Daphnia pulex: one gene and its partner. Each later gene encodes a partner of the first gene's protein in a complex. Links are inferred from orthologs where the notes say so. Each region holds a gene or a part of one and is shown in the gene's direction. Other genes may lie near its edges.

Evidence for each region. Proteins that work in one complex are often made in the same cells at the same time.
Region 2: the proteins of serine/threonine-protein kinase fused-like (region 1) and suppressor of fused homolog are in contact, whole or in part, in a crystal structure (PDB 6LPH), measured with the Drosophila melanogaster proteins. The link is inferred for Daphnia pulex from reciprocal best matches to the Drosophila melanogaster genes fu and Su(fu). Residues at the interface, in NP_477499.1 of Drosophila melanogaster: Phe371, Val372, Ser373, Asn375, Ser376, Asn377, Met378, Ile379, Leu380, Asn381, His382, Met383, Asn384, Asn386, Phe387; in NP_536750.2 of Drosophila melanogaster: Leu18, Ile22, Pro33, Asn34, Pro35, Leu36, Gln37, Val38, Thr39, Thr40, Leu41, Leu42, Asp50, Tyr54, Met57, Arg127, Thr130, Trp131, Ala133, Asn134, Gln137.

Annotation. Positions count from the first base shown.
Region 1 is NC_060025.1:6,989,986-6,997,998, reverse strand, and holds serine/threonine-protein kinase fused-like, read left to right. Parts: upstream 1-2,760; 5' UTR 2,761-3,280; coding exon 3,281-3,391; intron 3,392-3,455; coding exon 3,456-3,569; intron 3,570-3,643; coding exon 3,644-3,966; intron 3,967-4,033; coding exon 4,034-4,275; intron 4,276-4,349; coding exon 4,350-4,452; intron 4,453-4,521; coding exon 4,522-4,647; intron 4,648-4,723; coding exon 4,724-5,003; intron 5,004-5,070; coding exon 5,071-5,453; intron 5,454-5,566; coding exon 5,567-5,676; intron 5,677-5,789; coding exon 5,790-5,972; intron 5,973-6,059; coding exon 6,060-6,144; intron 6,145-6,271; coding exon 6,272-6,365; intron 6,366-6,496; coding exon 6,497-6,553; 3' UTR 6,554-6,943; downstream 6,944-8,013. Other genes in the region: E3 ubiquitin-protein ligase lubel-like, read right to left, coding at 382-499, 568-639, 704-850, 916-1,076, 1,170-1,335, 1,515-1,520. UniProt on the Drosophila melanogaster protein: Probable serine/threonine-protein kinase; maternally required for correct patterning in the posterior part of each embryonic metamere. May be involved in control of cell division during metamorphosis and ovarian development. May interact with costal-2.
Region 2 is NC_060019.1:8,216,024-8,223,980, forward strand, and holds suppressor of fused homolog, read left to right. Parts: upstream 1-2,735; 5' UTR 2,736-2,883; coding exon 2,884-3,101; intron 3,102-3,189; coding exon 3,190-3,282; intron 3,283-3,341; coding exon 3,342-3,755; intron 3,756-3,833; coding exon 3,834-3,922; intron 3,923-4,020; coding exon 4,021-4,315; intron 4,316-4,378; coding exon 4,379-4,586; intron 4,587-4,693; coding exon 4,694-4,765; 3' UTR 4,766-5,056; downstream 5,057-7,957. Other genes in the region: putative inorganic phosphate cotransporter, read right to left, coding at 1-35, 105-226, 298-430, 505-657, 717-940, 1,004-1,091, 1,218-1,451, 1,824-2,014 and 1 more; zinc finger and BTB domain-containing protein 4-like, read left to right, coding at 7,291-7,523.

The DNA of each region.
Region 1 (8,013 bases):
GCAAACCATTGAAACTTGGAGCAAATCAGCAAACCGCAAAGTGCAAACCATGCTGCATTCCAACAAATTCCGCAGCCAAGGCAACGTCTCATCGGCCATATTTGGCCGAAGTTTGTTTACATCGTCATTTAGTTGTAACCAACATTTTCTATTTTTAATTTCAAAATTTCAAATTAAAAATCAAAGACATGTTTCAAAAAAATCTAAAAATCATGTTTTTGATTTTTAATTTAAATTTTACTTGTTAAAAATTACAACAAATTTTGGTCAAATATGGTCGATTCAACGTTGCCTTGACTGCGGTACTCGTTGGTTTGCTCTAATCCGGCCATCTAATGTTGATTATTTCTCCATCATATCGAGACAAATTAAATCAACAACCTGGTGGCTTGCTGTCTGGGGCTGAGGGCAGAGGCCTAGAACCCATGAATCGCTTGAGAGATCCCATTTTCTCCATGAAGGATTCCTTGCGAGGCGTGGAGGGTGTCATCGGCGGCGGCTTAAAAAAGTAAAAAGGCCCAATTAGTATTATAACCTTATTGACAGATATAGAAATGTAAATGATACTTGATTTTGAGAACTCGATCCTCCGCTTTTCCTGCCCAGCAGAGGAGTCGTAAAAACATTTAAGCGCGATGTCTAAGGAACAAAATTGTTGTCAAGCAAAACAACATTGTTTTTGACGTAAAAAGCAACAACTTACCGAAAAATCTTTTCGGCTCAATAATGGGGTAGAAAATGGGCCTTTCTTTCCTTTGTTACGTGGTGGGGGTAGTGGTGGAGGAATTGAAGAATCGGCATTTTTGGGTGGCAGTGGTGGTCTAACTGTCGGGACTATACAATCCAGCGCCTGTGAAAAGACGAATTCTTTCGTTATCTATAACATTGAGGGTATTTTTCAAAATATGGAAGTACTTTTCTAGAATGATTCATTCTTTTAGGGTGTCGATGATACATGTCATCGCAGGATAAGCAAAATATTTGGTTGAGACATTTCTCACACCGAACTTTTGGACTTGAGGATCCACAAAGTTCACAGTGACGTCCATCGCCTTTTCTCGGCTCCATTTTTCCACCTACAACGTGTTGGAAAATACCAAAGTGGATGATTAATAGCTTTTCGTTTGAGCTAACCATTTTGTGCATACAAAAATAAAAATAAATTGTACCAAATCGAATTGAGAACGTAGCTTTATGCCCAGTCCCGTATTCTATGTCTTCGTATTCGTCCTCCAAGGGCGGTGGTTGGGTTGTGGGTAATGGAGGTGGTTCAGCAGATGCAGCGTCGTTGGTAGCAGATGCAGATTTATTTTCGGAACTAGCCGGCGTAATTTGCTAAATAATTCCCACAGCATAGAAACAAAATTAATTTCAAAAAATTAACCAACACCAACTTCCCCCATAAAAACTGACACAAAATTGATTGCAAAGAATTGGTTTAGTTGTTTCGCATCGCAATCAAAAGTATAACTGATGCTGGTGGTCTGAAGTAGTAAATAATAGCGTTGACGTACCCTCATTTCATTTGACACTCACAGGAGACATGGGATAGATTCGACACGAGATAGCCAATTGCGGAAACGGATAAAACGATCCCCACACTCAAAAATCGACTGAAAAATCGTATATAAACTCCCGGAGAGATGGAAAAGGCGGACCGCACGCCGCACTGTGCGATGATGATGTCCGTTCGCCCCGCCGGAATAGACACCAAAGAGCAAAGCAGTGCGACAAACAGGATAGGAATGGGCCGCTGGAATTGTCGGCAATCTGCCAGCGATTCACACGGCACCCCCTGACAAAAAGCAAAATCCCAAAAATATCGTCGAGCTCGTCCTGCTGGTCGTATCTTCCCTGTACCGGGGCAGTTCTCCCCCGTGAGACACCGCCAGCGCGTCAGTGAGAATCAATCTAGACATGCATGAATAGATTTGGCCTTCATTGGAAGGCATTCGGAAGGTGTAGCCAACGGGATTTTAATGGTAAATAACATCATGTAAACACCCGTGCAAACAAAAAAAAAAAAGTTTTATCAACTGAGGTGTACTATAATAGCTAGTAATCGTTCAGTAGATTACAGTAAACTATCAGAAAATATGAAACAAAATAAATAAAGTTTTTACTAGATTAACGTATCGTAAATAATAACAAGTTTGTTTTTTTGCCTGAGCATGCAACTATTTCAATTGCCTAGAGTTGAATGAACTGAATACTTCCTTGTCAATTTACCGAATCAAAAACCCATCCGAGTTCTCGAGATGTAGTTTCGCAGGAACAAAATCAACACTCGCGCTTATTGTGTGTGCCGTGTTTGAATGCAGCTGGCCTTTCTCTCAGACGTCACGGATTTAAACTTTATATATTCCTCTGGAAGAAAGTCAAAAATAGCTTGGCATTCAAGGTTTCCAACTCTGACTGCCGGCGCGTCATTGCCACGGTTATAGGAAGCCACCTCCGTCGTCAGAGACTATTCTGCTACCAAATATTTATCAACAACGATATCCAAATCATTAGCTACACCTCATTTGTCCATGCAAAGCATTTCAAAAGTTTAATCTTGATTAAATACCTACCGGAATTATTCATCTTCTATATTTAATTCTTTGTTTACTCTTATCTTTACACTCTTGTAGCTAAATAAAATATGTTTTTTAAAAAAATAGGGAATCGATAGATTTGTACCATCTCGGTGATGGGAATAACGTAAATTTTCAACACATTCATTTCCGGTTGTTTTACCGGTCTTTGTTGTGTGTTTTTTTTTTTTTTTTTTTTTTAAATTCTCTTCACGCCCATATATCTTCCACCTTCGTAGGGCGTGTAGCATACCGCGTGCGTACTGTCTCTTTTACTGCTTTTCGCGGCTTTTGCACTTTTTGGTCCAGTGCACAGCGCACTGGCTTGTTTAGTTATTTATACTCTTATGGAATTTTCTTATAAATATATCATTGTTATCCCTGTGTTATATGTTCACCACTTCGTCAGATTTAATCATGTCTATCTGGCTCGGGAATCATTTTCATCACCTTGCCAGTTGGCCTTATTCGAAAATACAGCGCCATCTCTGATCCAGATATTTACATGGGAATATTGTTAGTCTAAGCTTCGCTAGATGGCTTCTTTTGTTTATAGACAATTCATTTCTGATTAAAATCCAAGAATCGTAATGATCACTACAATTATATCCATTTCTTAACAGCGGTAAAAGAAGTGACACTGCTTTATTGTGGTTTCTTAACATTCAAATTATCTAATAAATCCGAGTTGAAAGTGCGTTGAAATGGAAGACTATGAGGTATTAGAAAAAATTGGAGAAGGATCTTTTGGAAGAGTTTACAAAGCAAGACATAGACACTTGAGAGGTTTGGTTGCTCTCAAGTTTATTCCAAAAGTAAGTGTTATAAATAAATTCCTTTCCATTTCATTGTAACAAATTCTATACTTTGCGTTTGTAGATTGGTAGGACAGAATGTGAGCTGCAAAGCTTGAGACACGAGTTTGAAATCCAGAAAGGCTTGCGTCACCCAAACATTGTTCACATGCTTGGTGCCTTTGAGACATTTAAAGAGGTAATCAAGAAATTTCACAATTTATTTGTTGTAGTTTTGTGTGTTGATTATTAACGATTTATTTCTCCATCCAGCTAGTTGTTGTCACTGAGTATGTTGAAAGTGACTTGTACAAACTACTGGAAGATGGGACACTCTGTGAAGACAAAATGCGAATGGTTGCTTGCCAGTTGCTATCTGCTCTCTACTACCTTCATTCAGACAGGATATTACACCGTGACATCAAACCTCAGAATATACTGCTGACAAGTGATGGCATCATTAAACTTTGCGATTTTGGATTTGCAAGATCCATGGACCTCAACACTTATGTGCTAACATCTGTCAAAGGAACTCCATTGTACATGGCCCCAGAAATCATAGAGGAAAAGCCATACGATCATAATGCAGATTTATGGTACATTTTTTATTGCAGATATTGTCTCTTCAAAGATTTGTTGATTTACCCTTCATTTTTACAACAGGTCCTTAGGTTGCATTTTGTATGAGCTCCTTTTTGGATCGCCACCCTTTTGCACCACATCTTTATTGCAACTAATACGAAAAATTCGTTACGAAACCGTGCCTTGGCCCACAAATCTGAGCCCAGATTGTTTCAACCTCCTTCAAGGTCTCTTGGAGAAAGATCCTCGCCGCAGGCTAACTTGGCCTCACTTGCTCGAGCATCCTTTCCTGGAGAACAAAGTTCTGCTCCCACCTGAAAGACGTATGTTCAATACAATGTTCCTTTTCTGGTAAAGGTAACAAATTTCACTGATTCCCTCTTTACCTTCTCTCTAGTGAGACCTCAGCTTCCCTTAACGACTGCCTTGACGGCTTCGCAGGAACTGGCCAAAGAGATTCAAAGACAAGATCTCTCCCAAAAGATGCCGTTCAAAAACAAGTGAACATTGTCGTGCTGATTATTTTATCCAATCCTTTAACTGAAATTTATTGGTTGTTCTTTTACAAGGGTTTTCACGCGAGCCCTTCAGAGATTAGAAGAGTACGAACGACGCCGAAATAGCGCTCCAGTTTCTCAGCCCAAACAATTGCTGGCCCATCCCGCCGCCGCCTTCCACAGCACCCAATACAATCCGTACGTCACTTTAAACAGAATTTCTAAAAGTCGCGTTTTTTTTTAAATTTAAAACTTTATCATTTTGGTCGAATAGTGCATTTGGAGACTGGACGCGTCGCCAAAGTGCAGCCGTCGACACCCACCGTTTACCGCCTGCCATCGATCCACGGATCAGTGAGAGGCAGCAATTGCTGGAAAGAATTTTAGAAACGACCAGATGGCCGACCAAACAAAATGTGGCCGATTTCGATCCCCTCGATCCTGGCACCAACGCTCATCATTTCTCCCTCATTCAGCCAGCCGTGCCCAACCCGCCAAACAACCAGCCGACTGTCGAAGAAACTGTTTCACCTTCCATCGAGCCCAAAACGGAGGTAAAAATCGATGTGCAGTCCTATCATAGAAGAAAGGATTGACCAAATGATGATTGATTCATTCTAGGCCAAGGAAACGACAACTGGCGAAGTTGCGGCCGCCGCAACCGCCGCCGCCGGTTCGTTGCTGTCGAAATCTCTGGAAAACGACGAATGGGAAGAGTTTCTTGACGGAACGCTGGCCGACGCCATAGAGAATCCGCAGACGCTGGAGCAGAGGGATCTCGTCGCCGTTGTGGTGGCTCCGTTACGCAACGTCAACGCCAGCCCGAGCCTAGTCGAACGTATAGCGACTCTGCTGGCCCTGCCTTGGGCTGGAATCGACCGCGAGGAATCAGTCGACGAAGAATTAATCGTCCGCGCCTACGCAGACACCCGCGTCGTGCCCAATCTCTTGTACGCTTGCAAAGTAATGGTTCAGAGAAGATCTGGCGATAACCGTAGCACCGGGTAACTCCTCTTTTTGTTTATTTGTCACAGTCTAAATTCCATTTCTCATTCTCCCATGTGATTTCATTTCGTTTTCTATTTTTCTTTTTTTTTTGGGTTGTGCCCAAAAACAGGAGCATCGACAGTAAAAAGACGGACGCCGAATTGACGGCCGACGATCTGCAGTCCTTAGAAATGCTGCTGGGTTTGATGGCCCGTCTGGTGCACCTGAGTACGACCGCAGGTAATCACTCATCGCGAGCTCTTGTGTAACTGGAAACGAAAGTGGGGGTGGCTAATCATTATTTTAATTTTCTATTCCTTCCCTTTTTTTCCCCCCGATTGAATTCACAACAGAATTCATCAATCAATTCTGCGATGCTGTTTGCGTGCTGGATTGCGCGGCCGCCATTCATCACCTGTTGTCTGTCGATCGTCGCAAAGCCCATGCAGTCGGCCACGTTCTGGCCATCCTGTCGCACGTCCTGCGCACTCGAGCCGAGAACGTTAGCGTCGTCCAAGATATTCTCACTCAAAGAGGTATTACATTTCACACAATTGCCTTGAAAAATAAGAAAATGAACGGCTAATCTCACCATCTCTTTCTACCCTTGTGCGACATGACAGACACAAATTTGGTGCGTTTGTTGTCGAATCGAAACCCCATGATTAGGTCCAGGTGTTGTACGCTCATAGGATACCTGTCTCTCAGGTAAGAGAAAAAGAAAAAAAGAAATACAATAAAAATACAACAGCTTTTTCCCATGACGTCAGCTGCAGCAAACAGCGTGAATGATGTTCCTATTCTCTTGTTTTCTTTCTCGCCTCGTTTCGCCCAGGGGCACTGACAAGCTCAAGGAATTGAGCAGACAGCCTGTCGTCGTCGAGCGCGTGGAGCAATTGCTAGCAGATAGCGATCCTCGGGTCAGGCAGGTCTGTACCCCCAAGTTTGGGATATCCAACATCTTTTCTTTCGAAGGCCTAGCCTATAGCCGATTCTTTTTCGCTTATCTTTTTCTCTGATTTAACCCCTTCTCTTTTTTCTCTCTCTCTCTCCCCGACAGAGTGCCACATTCGCCTATCGTTTGCTGAGCGGCCATAAAACCCGGGCCGGAAACTGAATGGACGAGCACTATGCAAAGTGGGCCAACCGCCGATAGAAAAACTCGCGAAAAAGAATCTTATAAAGAAAAATAGCCAAAACCAACTTATTTTCACCGTCCCAACTCCATGACGGATGGCCACATTTTGCTAAGCTTTTTCCATTCTGCCTCCAATCGGAAGAGGGGCGACAACACAACAATCGTAAAAGGCTCATTACATGACAACGCCGGATTTTTCGGTTGACTAAACAATGAACCACCTCCGTTTTCACTCCTCCCAAATAGCAAATCCTGTTTTATTTTACTTTGGTCTATCTTTCGATCTATTATCGTCAGTGCCATTTCTATTGCTTGACATTTCCCATTACCGTTTGATCTCGTGAAATATATCTGATCTTTTGAATCGCACTCGCCCAGCAGCATAATAATAATTGAAAAAAACAAAAACCGGACGCGCGCACGCAGAAAGATCCAAACAGGTACTATAGATATTATCAAAAATGGAGACTGCAGGAAGACCATCCTTGAATAAAATGAAGAAGAAGGAAAAAAACGACGTGATTGAATTTACGGCAAGTGAATGGGGCGCGCTCGTATATACAGGAGAACGAGAGAGAGAGAGAGAGATCACCCACAATTGTGCTCAAGGCTATTTGGAAATGTTCATTCATGAAAATAAAATAGGAGACTCTCTCGGGCCGATCAAAAAAGAGAGAGAAAGAGATGGTATATTGCACAACTTGCGCTCGGGTCTGTGGCGGGCGATGGATGACAGACTCCGGCCGTGTGTATGCACGTGCGAGCTCAAACACCTCATTGGCGATGCGGCCAAAAGAGCCGCGAGGGGGGCAGAGTCCGCCGCTCACTGCTGATGTTCGATCGTGAAAATGATTCTTGGCAGCTAGCTATAGAGAGGAGCCTCTTATTTTTGCGCGCGCTCGTTTTTCCAACCTCCATTGAGAAAGAGCCGGGCGAGGCCCAGCAGCAGTCTCAGCATCGTGGGCTCAATTCCAAAAAGAATAAGCTGAGGAATCGGCCCGGCACCAGCACAAGAAAGCGCGGAAGGTATAGCATATCTCACAGACAAGAAGAAGAAGAAGAAGAAGAAATATAAATAAATGCTGATAGGAGAGATGGAAACACTCCCACAAGATGGTGAAGCACACAAACAACAACAGAAAGGAGAGAAGAAGAAGAATAACGTGATAGCTTATCGCTTTCGAGGTGCGGTACAGGTCCCAATCTCTTTTCTCTCTTCTCGTCAATAGAACTCGGAAGAATCTTCTGGGCGTCGAAAGACCCGTCGAAAGACAACCATCGACTTTGGCCAGCACAGCACCTGACAACCCAAAAAGTCGTTTGGCTTTTGTTATTTGGCGAACTTGAAAACAAGAAAGGCCAATTATCGCATCAACCACCGTCAATTTATCTAAGGCGATTCAGCACGTCTATTATCTGAGCTGGTACAGTCTCTTCGA
Region 2 (7,957 bases), on another chromosome or scaffold:
CCGGCGTAAGGTGGTGCAATTTCGACAAAGTTCACCTGATTTTTTCATAATGAAAGGGGTTTAATGAGTTGAATTATTTCTGAATTATTTGTTTTAGAATGTACTTGAAAAGCAGAATAAGAAGCACCACTAAGTCCCACTGCCAAAGTAAGTAAAATTACGGCAGCTACAGTATCACATCCAATAAATCCAGCACCAATTAAAGCCAACGCGGGTCCGTATTGGCCTTTTATAATTGCAAAATTTGAAATTAATCTCGCAACTAAACTTGAACATCTCGTTTTTAAAAATAGTTACCAATAGAATTAAATATCTTCCGTACAGTAATAACTCTAAATATTTGTTTGGAAATGAGAATATCTGCGACTGTGCTGCAAAGGAGCGAGAAAAGCCACATCGCCAAGTAGGGAAGAGCGGACACGAAACTATTCTGTAAAATTCATTCAAATATCAAACGGATTAAGTGACTTTTTCACTTGGCCTTGTTTCAAATTTTATTTGTACCTGTTTCATGTTAAAATGTAAAATATTATCCATGTAACTCGGTAGTTCAGTCAACAGCGTGTAAAATCCCCAGGCGTGACCAACATTGGCCGCCCCTACAGCCCAGCAGGCTTTTGATCTAAACATGCATCGCCACGGTACGGGAGCACTTTTCTATATTAAGGAACAAAAATCAACCAGTCGACTTTTGATTAAAACTAATAAAGAATTACCCTTTTAATGGAGTCTTTCAAAGAACTGCAAATGTAATCTTTCTCCTCTTTGGATATTTTGAGATGTCGAGATGGAGAATCAGCAGTGAGGGGCATCCAAACGGCGAACCAGACGATACCCAAAGTCCCGAATACGTAAAACACTGTTGGCCAGCCGCCGTCGAATCCGTGCTCGCAAAGAATTCCCGAAAGAGGCAGTGTTATTACAGTCCCAAATTGTGCGCCTAGAAATTAGAATATAAACTTTAAAGAATTTCACGATGAACATTATACAAAATCCAACGTACCTGTGAAAACGAAAGCGGCCATTTTACTTCTCTCCCACGGTGGAGCCCATTCGGCAAGCATTGCGTACATCGCCGGGAACGTCACACCCTTAATGGATGTTGAAACAGTCAATTATTCGCTAGATTTAAGGATTTATTCGGCATGCGGAGGGCACCATGTCTGTTTCCCAGTGTGGCGCACTAGCAGCGCCTTTTTATAATAATATCGTAATACCTCTCCCAATCCCATCAAGACTCGACAGAAGATCAGCAAAGTGTCGCTTGCTCGAGCGGCGAACGGCGTCAACAAAGTGAAAAGTGAAGTACTGAGGATGCCATAACCAAGTAATTTTCGGCCGCCAAAAAGCTCCGCCAACCTCCCACCAGGGATCTGCGTTAAAACGTAGCCCCAGAAGAAGGAACCCAGGATGATTCCTTGTTTATATTCATCCCAGGCAAACTCTCCGTCCTTTTTAAAAAGAAAAGAAAAAATGTTGAAGATCATTAGTTTCGCATGGGATTATGTTTGACGGGGAATGACAAATAGACGGGCTTAAGCTGTGCACCAGACTGCAGACACGCGGCCATTTGCTCCAGACCATTTTCGTGCCTATATACAAAAAGCCAAGACTCGTGACAGGATTAACTCTCAGAGAGAACGAGGGAGATAGAATACGAGAGACAGGAAAAGGATGAACAAAGTCTAGCGAAAGCTTCCAATCCATCATCTCAGAAGAAAAGACCCAGGGGCATCGCGTACAAGGGGCCGAGTAGGGTGACTAGTCTTAGATCCCCTAGTGACTTTGCAATTATGTTTGACATTTTTTTTAGAGTCATTTACCTTTACTATTCCGGATTGGCTCTCTCCTGGAGTCTCTGGGCAGATATCCACCGCGGTTTGATTGATGTGTGGGATAGCGCTCTGATTGACCATCGCTACGATCGTCACGGACAAATTCACTCTCATGGCATAGACATTGGCAAATCCCAAGAATCCTAGCAAGACTAGGGTATGTCTAGTCCCCCAGCATCCTGTTAGTAATAGAAAAATGTATTTCTTTTGTAATATTTTCTATCTAGGAATGCAAGAAGTTTGAAAAGTATTAAAACACTCGTAAAACAACTCCTAGAAACATTGTCTGTGGTTAACAAAGCAGTCACTTGAAGTTTCCTTTGTAGATAAGGAAACCAACATGCAGGACAACATAACCCTGCACATGCGGGTAAAGGATGCTCCTATATCGACAGTTTTATACCTTGGTCTTCGTCATCGTGGGGAACGAGTCGCAACTTTTCATTTACTGTTTCATTTTCGTCTACTTCGTGTTGTTCTGTTACTGGGATACTAGTTTGCTGCACCATTATTCACAAATTGCACTAATAAAGGAGGGTTGGTAATGTTAAACTTTTAAAAGAAATGAGCCATTGGTGTGATTGTGCAAGGAGAGAACGGGAGTAGGTTTTGTGTGCGTGTGGGTGGTATTTTTTGTATAGTTGGAATGTAAATAAAAATATTAGCAGACCGATCGATGACACGTCGCAATAGCCTGTGGCTCTACTCCTAGATGTCTCTTATTGATTGAATGATGAAAAATAAATTTCACTTAGCTAAAAAGTCAGTATAATTTGTATAGTAAATAATACTATAGAATTTATTTATCCCTAAAAATGAAAATAAGGCTGCCCTGATAGTCTTCTTTATTTCAATTTTAATTTCACTAAAAAGATAAAAATCAACGATGACATTAGTAACTAGTGCTGCCAAATCAACTGGTGGCGAAGCATTGTTACAAAAATTCCTCTGCTATACACAATTGTTTGGAAATGGAGTGAAGTTTTGGTTTAGTTGATTGACATTTATTGTTATTTATTAGTAGATTGTGATAATAAAAGACACAACAATGCAGAAAGCACAAATGCATGTCGTCGCAAACACGTGTGCAACGGGAAATGTGGCGAGTGTTGCCAGCAACTTTGGTCCCGAATCTGGTCCCAATGACGGTCAACAATTGATGCTTTCTTCTTCAGCATTGGGATTGGAAATATTGTATGAATCATGTAAACAAGTGTACCCTCTTCAACCAAATCCATTGCAAGTGACAGCGTTCATCAAATATTGGTGAGTACTCGATACCTTGCTGATGTCCGATCAACACTTGGGAGTGTGCCCAATTGCTGCGAATACTTACCCTGATTATGAATTACAGGCTTGGTGGTCCAGATCCTCTAGACTATATAAGCATGTATGATCATCCTGGAATCCCAGAACTTCACATCCCTCCACATTGGCATTATATCAGGTATACATTGACACTTAAATTGTTACCAAGCACGACTTGATTATTTCGTTTCACATCAGTTTTGGCCTGACAGACTTGCACGGTGATGGCAGAGTTCACGAGCCTTCAGGACCAGAGTTTCCCAGTGGTTTTGGTTTTGAGCTGACTTTCCGCCTAGCCAAAAAGTCTGGTGAAGCCACACCACCCACATGGCCAGCAGCTCTGTTACAGGCCCTTGCCAAGTATGTTTTCCACACTGGTAACTCTTTCTTCGCTGGTGACCACGTCTCCTGGCATTGTCCTCTGGACGGATCGGATTTTGAATGTCGCTTGCAACACATGCTCCTGGCGGAGGATCTTTTGTTACCGCCAGTCCAAGGGCCATTAGGTTCCGTCAAGTTTCTGCAAGTCGTCGCCGTTACGGAGGAAGAGTTGCAAGTTTCCCAGCACTGGAATGGAACTAGCGTGTTGGAACTTTTGCGACGAGTTCCCTCGTAATATCCCCCGCTTCACAATAACTCTAGAGAATAGCCAACAAAAAAAGTTGTATTGATTTGCCCATTTTTACACAGTGCCGGAGGCCCTTGGCTTGTTGCCGACATGCAGCGTCAGTTATCGCTGTTTGAATTGCAGCCCTCCTTCCGCCGCGAAGTCGAACATGGTAAGGAGAAAAAGTTGCGCCGCTCCTCACAGGAGCCGTTTGTAAAAGTTTATTTATAGAGAGAGAATCCGATGTATATTCTGCTTCCATGTTTTTAGGGATCGATCGTGACGGATGCTCGTTGTCGGGCGTCAGCGCTCGCTGCCACTGGGAGGAGAGAAAAGTCACTTCGAAAACTGGTTCGGCTTGGAGGAGTCCGGAAGCTGAGGACGACTCTAGTAGTCAGGATGACGAAGAAGATGAACCGGAAGCTGGAGCGACCCTCGGGCGTCATCGACCGGCCGACGGTGAACCAACCATCAACGGCGAAATCTGGCCCATTCGACGACTCTACAAGGGTGTCCATTTGACGCTCAACTTGGAAGCTGCTTCCCTCCTGCCCGTCGTTCTTCGGTAACCCTACCAGTTGATTTCCATTGTCAGTCTTTCCTTATTTTCTAAATTGTTTATTATTAGGGGACGACTTCGACACGATCGGCATTTTACCTTCAAAGCAGTGGCCGGCGAAACGGCGGTGACGCTCCTGACGGGCAGAGTGGGAGGTGCATTGGCTTCACCGTCAGCTCCTCTCGTAGCCAAAGGTCCTTGGCTTCAGATCCTCGTCGATTCCGAGTGGTTAGCCAAACTAGAATCTGATTTGGCTTGCCTCCAGCAGCCCGATGGGGTGATTATATTTCTTTTTGATGAAATTCATCTCGAATGCATTGCCAATTTTGTGTGTGTAATAATCAAAACAATTTTTTTTTACTCTCTCCCCTATTTTATAAAAAGGTGGTGGTTCCCAAAACGTTTTGCTGGTTCGACCGACAGATGGCGTTGACGGTAGTTCCCGATGAATTATGACGACTGTATAAAAAAAAAGTCTTGTCTTTCTCAACTTTTTTTTCTTCTTTTATTTTTTTTCATGTTGTTTTCCTTCTTTTTCCCACCCCTTTTCTTTATCTATTCTTTTTCTTTTTTTACAATTGTAAACTGTAACCACGTGCCTTTATTATTATTCCTCGTGCTCGCGCGTGGGATGGAACCTGACCTGCGTGAATCTCCTTTTCTCTGGAAAAAAACAAAACGAAATATCTCGGGCGGATGTTGACGGAAGCTGCGTGTTTGCTGCAATTATAATGACGTTGAAAACTTGCCAAAAATGCGTTTTTCCAATCTTGTCTATTTATAGAAAAAGGCACACACACACACGAGGTGTCGAATCTGTGTGTTCATTTCGTCTACACTCTTTTTCTATTTCTTTCTTAAAAGCCTTTGGCTGTCGTGCAAAAAAGGACTGGGCAGCAGCCGAATCCTTGAAAAAGTTCTCCTCTCCCAGCACAGCCTTTTAGTCGTTGGACGCTTTTTTTGGATACACGGCCGCTCACGCAGGGAAAAGCGACCGGAGGTGGCGGCGGCCGGGTCCTCTCAAGCGTAATTAAAAGCGCAGTGGTCATCTCTTTTTTTTTTTAATTCTTTTTTTTGACGCAGAGTATATTTTGTTAGTTTTCATCTTTTGGCCTTCGGGAGGGGAAAATGAGCAGCGTGATGCAACAACAATTTCTTTTCAAAACTCATTGTTGTTTGCATTTAGCAGCTGAGCTAAAAGGGAATTTTGTGTTTTTTTTTCACGAAGGCCAAAAAGTCGGATGAGGGTAGAAAGAAGAAGAAGAGAAAAAAGGTTCACGGCATCGATCGGACTGGCGGGCCAGTCTCCCTGGACCCTGCGCCGATGATGAAGGAAGAGAAAAAAAAGAAGAGGAGGGGGAGTTGATTCTCACACACGTACAGACGAACGAACCCTGGTGCTCTTAACGCAGACGGGGAGGGGGAGAGCCTATCAAGAACGAAAAGAAGGAAGAAGAAGAAGAAGAAGGAAAAGAAGAAGAAGAAGAAGAAGAAAAAAGAGCGGATGCTGAGAGAAAAAGAAAGAAGGGAGGGGGGAGAGAACATGGCCGACTCCCGGCAGGAGGGCGGCCACCTCCTCCCGTTGGGGTGGAAAGAAAGTGGGAGGTTGGGGCGGGCGGCACGCGGGGGCCCCTCCGACCTTTTTTTTCTTCTTCTACGCGTTCAGACTTTAAGAGTCAACAATGAACTTGATTCTCACCCAATCATCTCGTAAGAAAAGAAGAATTTCCTTATTTAAAATAAAAGAAAAAAGTTGTTTTATGTTTTTCGCATTTTTTAATCCCGCGGGAAAATGTTGGACATACCATCAAAAAAGGGAAAATTGGGTTGTGTGTCGTGAGAGAAAAAAACATGTCGCTCATCTCTTATAAAGACGCACATATACACGCACTTGACGGGTGGAAAAAAAGAAAAACAAGACGACGCCATTTCGTTTTTTTTGAAAATAGATGCGTGTAGAGTCGGTCGGTCCTCCTCCTCCCTTTTGGCCAGCAGCAGCAGGACATCCTTATTTTCATCTGGTCGTTCCTCCATCCACTTGTTTTTACCGTCGATTCTCTCATTCTCGCCGTTTTCCGACGTAGTACACGTCTCTCCGGGTCGGCCAGACTTAACCTTGGGAGAACACACAACCGCGTTATAGACGAAACGCAAGACTTTTAAGAAGAAGAAGAAGGTGTCTTGTTGCCATTGTAAATTTAGACGACCAACTGGTGAGCAACTTTTTCGTTGGCTGACTTTAAGATTAATTTAGCGACAACTGGAAATGTACTCGGCAGGTGTCCACCACATTTCTTAGGTCATCTTTTATTGAAAATGATAACCCAAAAACAGATCTGACATGATAAAAAAAAATTAAAAACAAAAACAAAACTAAACATGTGTGTGTTAATCGTGTTTTGGCTTCCCCATTCTGGAATTTTTTTGTTTCATTTATTTTTCAATTCTTTTTTATTCCAAAACATTTTTTTATTTCATTTCTTTTTGTGAGCGATATCTATCGATAGTTAACAGACGACGATTTTTTTTTCAGCCCCTCCTCCCCCCCCCCCTAAAGAAGGAGGTTCTTTTTTCACACACTAGACTTTTGCTGAGTAGTGCCGCTAGAGGAGCTTCAGTCTAGTTGAAGCTTTCCGTGCGGTGAGGTCGCGGCCGTCGCCTACTCCCAAACTATTTTTACGATTGGCGCCAAACGTTATTTTTATTTTTCCACACACACACAACAACAACCAGCGCAGTGAGAGCGTGTGTGCCAGTGAAACCCTTGAAAAATTATTTTTTATTTTTCAAATTCTTCTGGTTACAAGAAACGTGTTTTTGTGTGTGGATGCAGGTGCACCCGACATGCTGGTGTGTGTACCATGTGCGTGAGTGTCAAGTGAAATCGGGCACGTGCTTACCTCTCTCGGATTTTGAGATTTCTGCGGACTAATTATTAGCCAAAATCAATCGACGATTTGGTTCTGGTCCGAGTGAATAAAATGCCAGCAGCGGCAGCGATCGGTCCCGATGGGCAGATTATGCGCCCGAGAAAGGGTCGACCGCCCAAAGGTGGTTACCCGTATCCGTATCCGGCCTCGACCGATCCCGCCCGCACCATCTACATCGGCAAGAACAACGCCCGCCACTGGGCCGATCTCAAAACTCGGCTCGGATACAATGGCGACGTCGATTTCGTCTCTTTTCTACTCCGACTGGCAGAGGAACGTCTCAGGTATGTTATCCTCGTGTGTACTCCATTTTCTTTGGTTGGTTGGGGGGGAAAAGAAAAAAGATTATTCATCATGTCAAGTCAGGAGAAAGAAGTAGAAAGTTTGTTTTGGTTATAAAAATGTCGTTTCATCGTTGTTGGGTCGTCGTATTCTCCCCCGAAAAATAAAATAAAACAAAAGAAGAACGTTTTCGCCTTGACCATAGATTGTGGGAGGAGGCCCCCATCCCCCTTCTTTATTCAGGGTGGGTACACTAGAAAAAGAAGGCGCGCGCGGCGCCACAGTTCTTCTTCTTCTTCTTTAAGTTGCGTCTTTCGGCCAACCGCAACCGAGAGGGAGGGACCACCCCACCCTCCCATCGGACTGGGGGGAACATCTCCCGCGGTGACCCTAGTCGACGATGGGTGGAGCCAAAGAGGCTGAGTGACGGTCACTT